Linked DNA regions of Ovis aries. The protein of the gene in region 1 interacts with the protein of each later gene in a biochemical or structural test. Links are inferred from orthologs where the notes say so. Each region holds a gene or a part of one and is shown on either strand. Other genes may lie near its edges.

Region 1 (4,458 bases):
CATACTCATTAATCAGTATTCACTTCAATAAGAAGTGTTTTCTTTAGAAGGTTCATGGCATTGGAAGTTCCAACTTTGGAAGGATGCTTTTCATGACAATAATAACAATTAACAAAAAACAATTTTGTGGTGGGAGGAAAACAGTCCAAATTTACATACACTTTTAATTCCTTTTGGCCTTTATATTAACTTTAATGTTAAAAAATAAAGTTGGTGGAGAAGCTAGCTCACTTGCAAGGTAAATGGCTTTTATGTGATTGGCAAATCTCGGTCAGATAACGCATTTTTAAAGCACAAAACCAACAGCCACCAATATCTTCCTGTGCATTCACAAATTATCTTCTAATTCAAATGGCAGCAGAGGAACTCTGGTATGCACGTATGTACACAGACACACACACACACCACCAAGGCATGGCAAACTGTCATCAGCTAAGCAGTACTGTATCCCAAACAGAGCATAATCCATAGGCTGTTTACAAAGGTAGAATACAAATAGATTAAATTTTTTTCAGGTAGAAGGCAAACGTGTATATTTCTCCATCTCTGCTGAATTCATTTATCTTCTCAAGGCTTTCACAGAAAGCACCATTTTATGAACAGGTAATTCAGTACCCAGAGTTTGACTGGAGACTTATTAATTGGGATTGAAGTCTTGATGCAGTTCATAAAAATCCAATAAAAAAAAAAGGCATCAAAAACCACATTTAAAATAAAGTTGTCCATATATAAAGAATGAAGTGTTTAGAAGTTCCCAGCTTGTATTCTACAGAGTACTGAAAGATTAGCAGCCTGTGAAGGTGTAGTGAGGAAAGAGTCTGAGAACCAAGTTACTATCCTCATTCTATTCTAATTCCACCCATTCCTTGGGTGAAAACAGTTCTTGCAGTCTAGAATTTCTCCTCATGACCTTTTATCTGTCAAATCTTTACATCTTGGGATTCAACCATCTTGGCAAGTGTCTTCTTGATTCTCAGAGCTGTAAGTCTGGAGGCTGGATTGTGAGCCCAGCATTCTGACATTAGCTTCAAAACTGCTCGTAGACACTGAAAAGTAAAGAGAATGTCATGAGCGGGTAAGGGTCTTTGGCAACACTCAGCAATCACTTCCTGAGAGGACTGACTCCCACTTACTTCATCACTGTTCCATCGATTAGACACAATTGGCCGCAAACGTTTAACGCACACCACCTCACGCATATCCTCGTATGATGGGTCATTGGGTACCATGTTGTAATACGGCAACTGGTACTCTTCGACTATTCCTGTAGTGAGCGAGAAAACAGTGGGCACAAAAACAGTGGCTGGAAAAAATACATCAGTCTGTTCAGCACTTCTTACTGAACTAAGGAACTAAAATTGATTCCCCCATAAAGAAGAAGAGATTACTGAGCAGATGATTCATGTCTAATAGTAAATGTGTGTTCTACTCTTCTTTTTAAATATGATTATTTTCTATATCCCTACCATAGTTGTCCATATTGAACATGCCAATATCCCTTAAAACAAGCAAAGTGAACCATTCAACCTAAATTTTTAGTCTTTTTATGTATACAGTTGCTTCTACTAATAAAAGAGTAGAGCCTTTTTTCTGCAGTAGAAAGACAACGCATCTGTAGGAATGAGTTGGCAAGGCAGACTGGAAATTGCTGTCTGTATGAGAGGCCTGCCTGAAAGCCTGGCACTGAGCTGGTATCTGGGGACTTGCCTGCTAAACAGCTCTCTCTATTCACAGAAATGAAAAGGGTGGCCTTTGTAACTAGACTATTTGTGCAAACAATATAATTTATGCTGACCACCTGCTTTCTTTCTAGAAGTTTGGAATTTTGATACATGCCAGGCAGAGGATGCCCATGTGACCAGCCTCCAAAAAAATCTCTGGGTACTAAACCTCTAATGAACTTCCCTAGATGACAATATTTCACATTTTTACAATTCACTGCTAGGGGAATTAAGCACATCCTGAGTGACTCCACTGGGACAGGACTTCCGGAATCTTGTGTCTGACTTCCTCTGAACTTTCGCCCCATGGGCCTTTTCTTGTCCCTTTGCTGATTTTGATGTGTGTCCTTTCAGTGTAACAAATCTTTGCTATGAAGACAACTATACACTGAGTCCTGGGAGTCCCAATGCAGTGACAGAGCCAGTGAGTGATCTTGGAGCTCCCTGACCCAGATGACACCTAAATCATGCCACTGGAGCTGTTATGTTTTGAATGACGAGTACACAGACACAACCAGAAACACGCTGCCCACACTCCTACCTCCTGTGACACAACGGCGAGCCATTTCCCAAACGATCAAGCCAAAGCTGTAGATGTCAGCCATTATGTAGGGCTGGAAATGGCTTTTATTCAGGCTTTCGTCCAGCACTTCTGGAGCCATGTAGCGCTTGGTGCCCACCCTAGTATTCAGGGGCACATCAACTTCATTTGTGTCGCTGAAACAGAAGACAGAAAACGTCCAGGTTGAGGGGAAAGAAGAAAACCGTTTCTCCTCTATTTTCACTGCATTGTGTAACAGGCAGAATTTCTCTCTCTCTCTCTCTCTCTCTCTCTCTCTCTCTATGTGTATGTGTGTGTGTGTTTGTATACACAACTAAATAAAATGAAAATCTATCTAATAAGTCTACATTTCCTGATCAGTAATCCTTGGGGCTAGGTGTATTTTGAAATTTGACATCTTTCAGATTTTAAAAAAGTATTACATATTATATCCTTTAAATATATGCTGTGTATTGTATAACACCTCCAGCAGGGTCTGGAGCAGTCCTGAATCAAAATCATTACTAAGTCCACAGCAAAAAACTAAGTATGACTATTCACAGTTAACTGAATAAATAAAGACAGTAAATACCTCAAACCAGTTCAGGTCAAGTTTTGTCAGCAAGTAAGTTCTGTGTCTCTCTAAGAAAGAGAACAGTGCTGAACATAAAATGTGGTAGATGATTATGTCCTAGGGTGAGTAAATGTGAAAAGTGAGAGGCATCATTTGTTTTCTTCATTCTCACGTGATCCTTTGTGATTTGGGATTACATTTTTTTCTTTATGGGTCCAACCAACTCAGTTCTATTGTGAGTCATGTTTACATAATCATACTGCAATATTAATCTTTTTTTAAAATTAATTTTGGGAGTATATTTTAGAGTTTGAAGACATGAATGACCTTTTTTTTTAGGTTCCCAGATCTGTTAAGATTCTGGAAACTATTTTGAAATGGAGATCAATATAATGTACTTTATATTTTCTTAAATGGCATCTGATGAATACTTGAGCCAATAAAAATTCCCCTGATAGAAAAAAACAACAGGATAGAAAACTGTGATAATGACAGAAGAAGATTAAATTTTTTGATGTTTGTTTTATTATGTACTTTAATTTTATGGCCTGAAATGAATTTTGAAATGTAAAATGGCTGCTGTACTCTAGAGTTATACCATTAAAACAATTTCAATGGTTTCCTAAAAATGTGATATTCTCATCGTTTAAAAATACTGACAATATCAAGTGGTGATGAAGCCATGGCATACAACTCTTGTTCACGGGCGTGCACACTGACGCACACTTTCTAGGGGACAGCCTGTTAATGCAGCTTAACACATACATACTCTCTGCCTAGCCCCTTCTCCAGAAATCCACTATGAGGAAATACTTGTACAAGTACTCTGGAATATTATATATGGATAAAATACAGTATTCATTGAAGCACTTTTTAAATAATAGACCCTGGAGGCAACTTTAATGTCATCAGTTGGGTCATAGATGGGATAAATTATAGAAATCTATAAAATGGAAAACTTTGCATACTGCTGCTAAAAAGAGTAAAGATCTATATAAACTGAAGTAGACGTCGAAGACAATGGGAAGTAGGAAATCAAGAATTATGTAGAGTAAGATGTAATTTTTGTAAAAAACAAAAACCACAATGAGAACAAAACACTAAGACAAACCTCCTCCCAAATCCTAACTTATAATTTACATCAGCACAAATACATGTTCGGAGGGCCTCCCGGTGGCTCAGACGGTGAAGAATTTGCCTGCAATGCGGGAGACCCAGGTTCAATCCCTGGGTTGGGAAGATCCCCTGGAGCCACTCCTGTATTCTTATCTGGAAAACTTCATGGACAGAGGAGCCTGGCGGGCTATAGCCCACGGACTCGCAAATAGCTGGATACGACTGAGTGACTAGCACTTTCACTTTACTTTTCTTCACATGTTTGGAGTCCCACTGTCCTGAATACAAATACAAACAGGTAAATATCTTTAGGAAATTAAAATAATTCCAAACACCAGGCAAAGAACCACTCACCTGTTGAACTTAACAGCAAGGCCCAGGTCAGCAATACAGCAACTCCCATTTTTCTTGATGAGGATGTTTTTGCTCTTTAGGTCTCGATGAGCGATTGCAGGCTTCCCTTGAGTGCCGTAGATTTCTGTGTGGAGATGGCACAGACCGCAGGC
Region 2 (4,281 bases), on another chromosome or scaffold:
GCCGCTCTGGGGACGCAGGTTCCTGGATTGTCCTGTCCTTTGGAGAGTCGCTGGCGAGATGCACATCGGACGCACTGCTATTACTGGCCCTCCCGGCCCAGAGCCGATGGAAGAGGGTCCTGGGGTTTTCAGGTCCCTGCAGACCCCTGCCCACAGGAGCTGGGCCAGCGGCCTTAGACGCTTCCCGGGCACCAATTGGTGGATGGTTAGCATTGCGTTTTATGAGCTGAAGTCTTTGTGAGACATTAAAACCCCGAAAGACATTGAGTTGGTAAACTGAGGCCAGCTCTGAACAAACTTTGGAGTTAGCAGAAAACTCGAGCAAGAAAGCAAAAGACAATTGCCACAAGATCCATCCCTGACCCCCAAGAAAAAGTTCTGGAGACGAAAGTGCTTTTCGGCTTTTATCTCTTAATTAAGAAAATTGGGGGAGAAAAATGTGATTAGAGAAGAATCCTTCTGAATCTGAAATTGAAACACAACTCCCTCTTCCCCAGGTTTCTGGGTTTTAGCACCGCGCGCTCTCGCGCGGCGCCCTGGAAGATTCTTAGGGTCGGAGGATGGTCTGGGGACTGCGGGGCTTCCGCCCTTTCCACTGTCCTTTCGCCCGCGGGGACCGGCCCTTCTTCGTCTGCTTTTCCCACTTCTGGAGCTCCTCCCACGGCATTTTGAGGGGTCTAGGCGTCTCAAAACTCTTTGCTCTTCCAAACCCTTTCGCAGTCAGCCCCAGCCGTGTCTCGGGAGCGGGAAAAACTAAAGCCGGTCAAAAAGCAGCGCGACTCTCGCCGGGTGTGGACCGTCGCGCAGGGGCGCCCGCGGCCTCCGCAACTCGGCCAGTGCGGTGTCTGGCGGCGCTGGGCAGCCGCGGCCGGAGAGAGGGCTAAGCGCTTGATCCTTTCCTCCTCTTCCTCCAACTGCCCCCAAGTTTGCGAGGGAGAGTGAGGTGGGCAACTTGAGTCCTTGAGCTCTGAAGCGACCCGAAGCAGCTTCTGGGAACAGCCCCAGGAAAGGGCAGCCGGTGCCCTCCGCTTTGCAGCGGGAATCGTGGGACTTGGGATCCCGGGGCGGGCAGGGCTGCCACAGAATTGCGTGGGTCAGGATTTTGAAAAGGCCCCGGCTGCCGCAGTTGGTAGGTCAGTTTTTTTTTTTTTTTTCCTTCTTCTTCTTCTTTTAAGGCCCCTGTGCTGAGCGACCCACGCATGCAGCATCTTTGGTTAGAATCAGAGCCCTAGTAATTCCTTGAGCTGTGGGTTGGTAAAATTCTTGAAGAAATATTTGCTGCGACTCTGCAGCTGGTGCAAAGGAGGAAGGGGGTGGGGGAGGAAGTGGCGGGGGAGGAGTAGTGGTTTAAAAAAGACGAGCTGGGGAGAGAGTGAGAAAGAGAGACGCAGACGCAGAGGTCGAGCGCAGGCCGAAAGCTGTTCACGGTTTTCACGACTCCTGGGAATGCGGTGGGATTTCCTTTCTGCGGCGGGTCGGGAGTTGTAAAACCTCTGCGACCTTGAGACCTGAAACATGTGATGAGCCTTTTCTCAGGAGACGCCTCTTTTCGAGTCTGTCGCGAGCCTTGCGTCCCTGCGACCGCCGCCGTGCCTTGAATGGCCCGCCGACCACTTTCTTTGGGGATTTGCTTTGCTTGGCGGGGGATCGCCGTAGTGCGGAGTTTTTCTCCGTAAAGGAACCGGAGAAGGAGCCTAGCGGCGGCTTTCTCACCATCTTCCCACACCGATAACCGCCTAAATATCTCCCCCTCCCGTCCCGCGCGACAGGGTCCGCAGCTTTGGGCTGGAAGCTAAAGCGGCTGTCCAGTTTTTCTCGACATTCTCAGGAGTTCGCCAGGGGGTAACTAGCTGTCACTGGGAGCAGCATTTGGCCTCTCCGAGACCCTGGGGAGGAAGTAGGGTGCGCGCGGCGTGTGTGTTTGTGTGTCCCTCAGCGCTTTCCTTTTTAAATGACCCTCGGTGGTGAGGCTTTCGGCGGCTGAAACTCCGCGGCCCCCTATCTCGGCCCCACCGGAGGCGGGCTCGCGCTGAAAGGCGCAGCCCCTACCGTGCTCCCCAGACCCTTGGCTTCAGGCCGCTGGCACGAGGGCCCAGCCCGACGCCCCGAAGGCTACAGGTAGGGGCGAGGACCACGTCCTCCACGCGCCGCACCCGGACACCCGCCGAGGGCTCAGCAGATTGCCACGGCGAGCTCCTCCCGGTCCGCTGGAGGTTTGGGGCTGCGGGCGGGGAGGCCGGCCTCTCCGGGAGGGGGTGGGGCCGCGGGCGGGAGGGGTGGGGGCGGGGGCGGGCGCGCGGGCCCTTTCACCGCCCGCCTCGGGGAGGGCGGGCTCCTCCGTGCGTGGGGCGGGGCCTCTGCGCTCACGTGACTCATAGGGGCTGGAAGAAAAACAGAGTCTGTCTGCGCCAGTCTCATTATATTCAAATATTCATTTTAGGAGCCATTCCGTAGTGCCATCCAGAGCAACGCACTGCAGCAGCTCCTCTGAGCCTTTCCAGCAAGTTTGTCAAGATTGGCTGTCAAGAATCATGGACTGTTATTATATGCCTTGTTTTCTGTCAGTGAGTAGACACCTCTTCCTTCCCTCCTCCCGGGAATTCACTCTGCCCTCCCCGCCCGCGCTCGCCTTGTGTCCCTTCCGTCGGACCTTCCTTCCAGAGTCCACACTCTTCTTTCTGGCAGCGCTGTCGCTTTCTTCTAGGCCGGGCAACCACTGCGCTCGGAGCCTACCGGTTCTGGTTAAAGTGCCGCTTGCTCCCGCTGGCTCTCTCTGATCACTGCGTTGCAAGAAAGGGGAGCGAGAAGGGGCTGAACAAATGAAAAGTCCTCAGTCAGGGGAGCTGACCGCTCCCCTCCCCACATGACTGGGAGCACCCAGTGCCCCTGTGGCTCGCTCCTAGCTGCTTGTCAAAACTCACAGAGGTCGCCCTTGGAATCATCCCCTCCCACACCCCCTTCCCTGGGAGTGAGCGAGAGGACGCGATCAGATGCTTTTGCTGGGCATTTCAAACTCCTCAGCCACAGTAAAATAAACCTTGTGGCCACTCGGTACGCTCCTAGATCCTGCCGCCCCGTGTCTTCACCCTGCTCCTGCTTCTCTGCTTTCCCTCCTCCGAACCAGCTGGAAGTTGTGGAAGTCGGGCTAGGAAGGGCGGAGGAAGAAGGGGGGTGGAGGAGAAGGGAGAGAGAGCCTGAAGGTCTGAAGTGGAGAGGAGAGCGCTGGCATTTGAACTCTCCCTCCCCCACCCTTCTTTACCTTCTCACTGTTAACTGTTTATCCCTAAAGAAGCCAGGCTGAGATCATGGCTCAGATAGCAGTTGGGACAAAAAAAGATTAACAGGATGGAGGCTATCTGATTTGGGGTTATTTGACTGTAAACAAGTTAGACCAAGTAATTACAGGGCAATTCCTACTTTCAGGCCGTGCATGGCTGCAGCTGGTGGTGGTGGGGGGGTGTGTGTGTCGGGGGAAGACACAAACTTGATCTTTCTGACCTGTGTTACTTCTAGACCCTCTAGCTGTAGCTCTCCACGCCTATGCAGAGACATCTCCATTTCTCTCTAGTTATTGGTGTTTATTTATTCTTTACCCTTCCACCTCCTCCCCTCCCCAGAGACACCATGATTCCTGGTAACCGAATGCTGATGGTCGTTTTATTATGCCAAGTCCTGCTAGGAGGCGCGAGCCATGCTAGTTTGATACCTGAGACGGGGAAGAAAAAAGTCGCCGAGATTCAGGGCCACGCGGGAGGACGCCGCTCAGGGCAGAGCCATGAGCTCCTTCGGGACTTCGAGGCCACACTTCTGCAGATGTTCGGGCTGCGCCGCCGCCCGCAGCCTAGCAAGAGCGCAGTCATCCCGGATTACATGCGGGATCTTTACAGACTTCAGTCTGGGGAGGAGGAAGAGGAAGAGCAGATCCAGGGCATCGGTCTGGAGTATCCTGAGCGCCCCGCCAGTCGGGCCAACACCGTGAGGAGCTTCCACCACGAAGGTCAGTCCCTACCTGGAATCTGGACTGGGGTGGGGCAGTGGAAGCTGTGGGAAGACGACGAGGAGTTCAGGTTACATCAGAACCCCAAATCCAGGAGACTGGGAAAAGAGAGCTGCTTACCTTCAAGAGTCTCCAGAGCTGTGGCTGAATTTATTTTTTGGAGACAGAAGGGAAGGGAGGGGTCGGCGAGAAGGGAATGACACCACTCAGACGTGGGTTAGCCCCTGCGGTGTGCTTTTGCTATATCAAAGCCTTTTATGCCAGGTTTTCTGCCTATTTTTTTT

What was found.
Region 2: the proteins of BMPR1A (region 1) and BMP4 form a complex in vitro, tested with the Homo sapiens proteins (3 studies listed by BioGRID and IntAct, with this or other methods). The link is inferred for Ovis aries from reciprocal best matches to the Homo sapiens genes BMPR1A and BMP4.

Annotation. Positions count from the first base shown.
Region 1 is NC_056078.1:40,570,907-40,575,364, reverse strand, and holds the end of BMPR1A (bone morphogenetic protein receptor type-1A precursor), read right to left. Parts: coding exon 4,307-4,458; intron 2,439-4,306; coding exon 2,263-2,438; intron 1,265-2,262; coding exon 1,134-1,264; intron 1,047-1,133; coding exon 921-1,046; 3' UTR 801-920; downstream 1-800. UniProt on the Homo sapiens protein: On ligand binding, forms a receptor complex consisting of two type II and two type I transmembrane serine/threonine kinases.
Region 2 is NC_056060.1:64,608,036-64,612,316, reverse strand, and holds the start of BMP4 (bone morphogenetic protein 4), read left to right. Parts: upstream 1-1,376; 5' UTR 1,377-1,902; exon of another isoform or gene 1,903-2,202; intron 2,203-2,440; 5' UTR 2,441-2,564; intron 2,565-3,617; 5' UTR 3,618-3,624; coding exon 3,625-3,997; intron 3,998-4,281.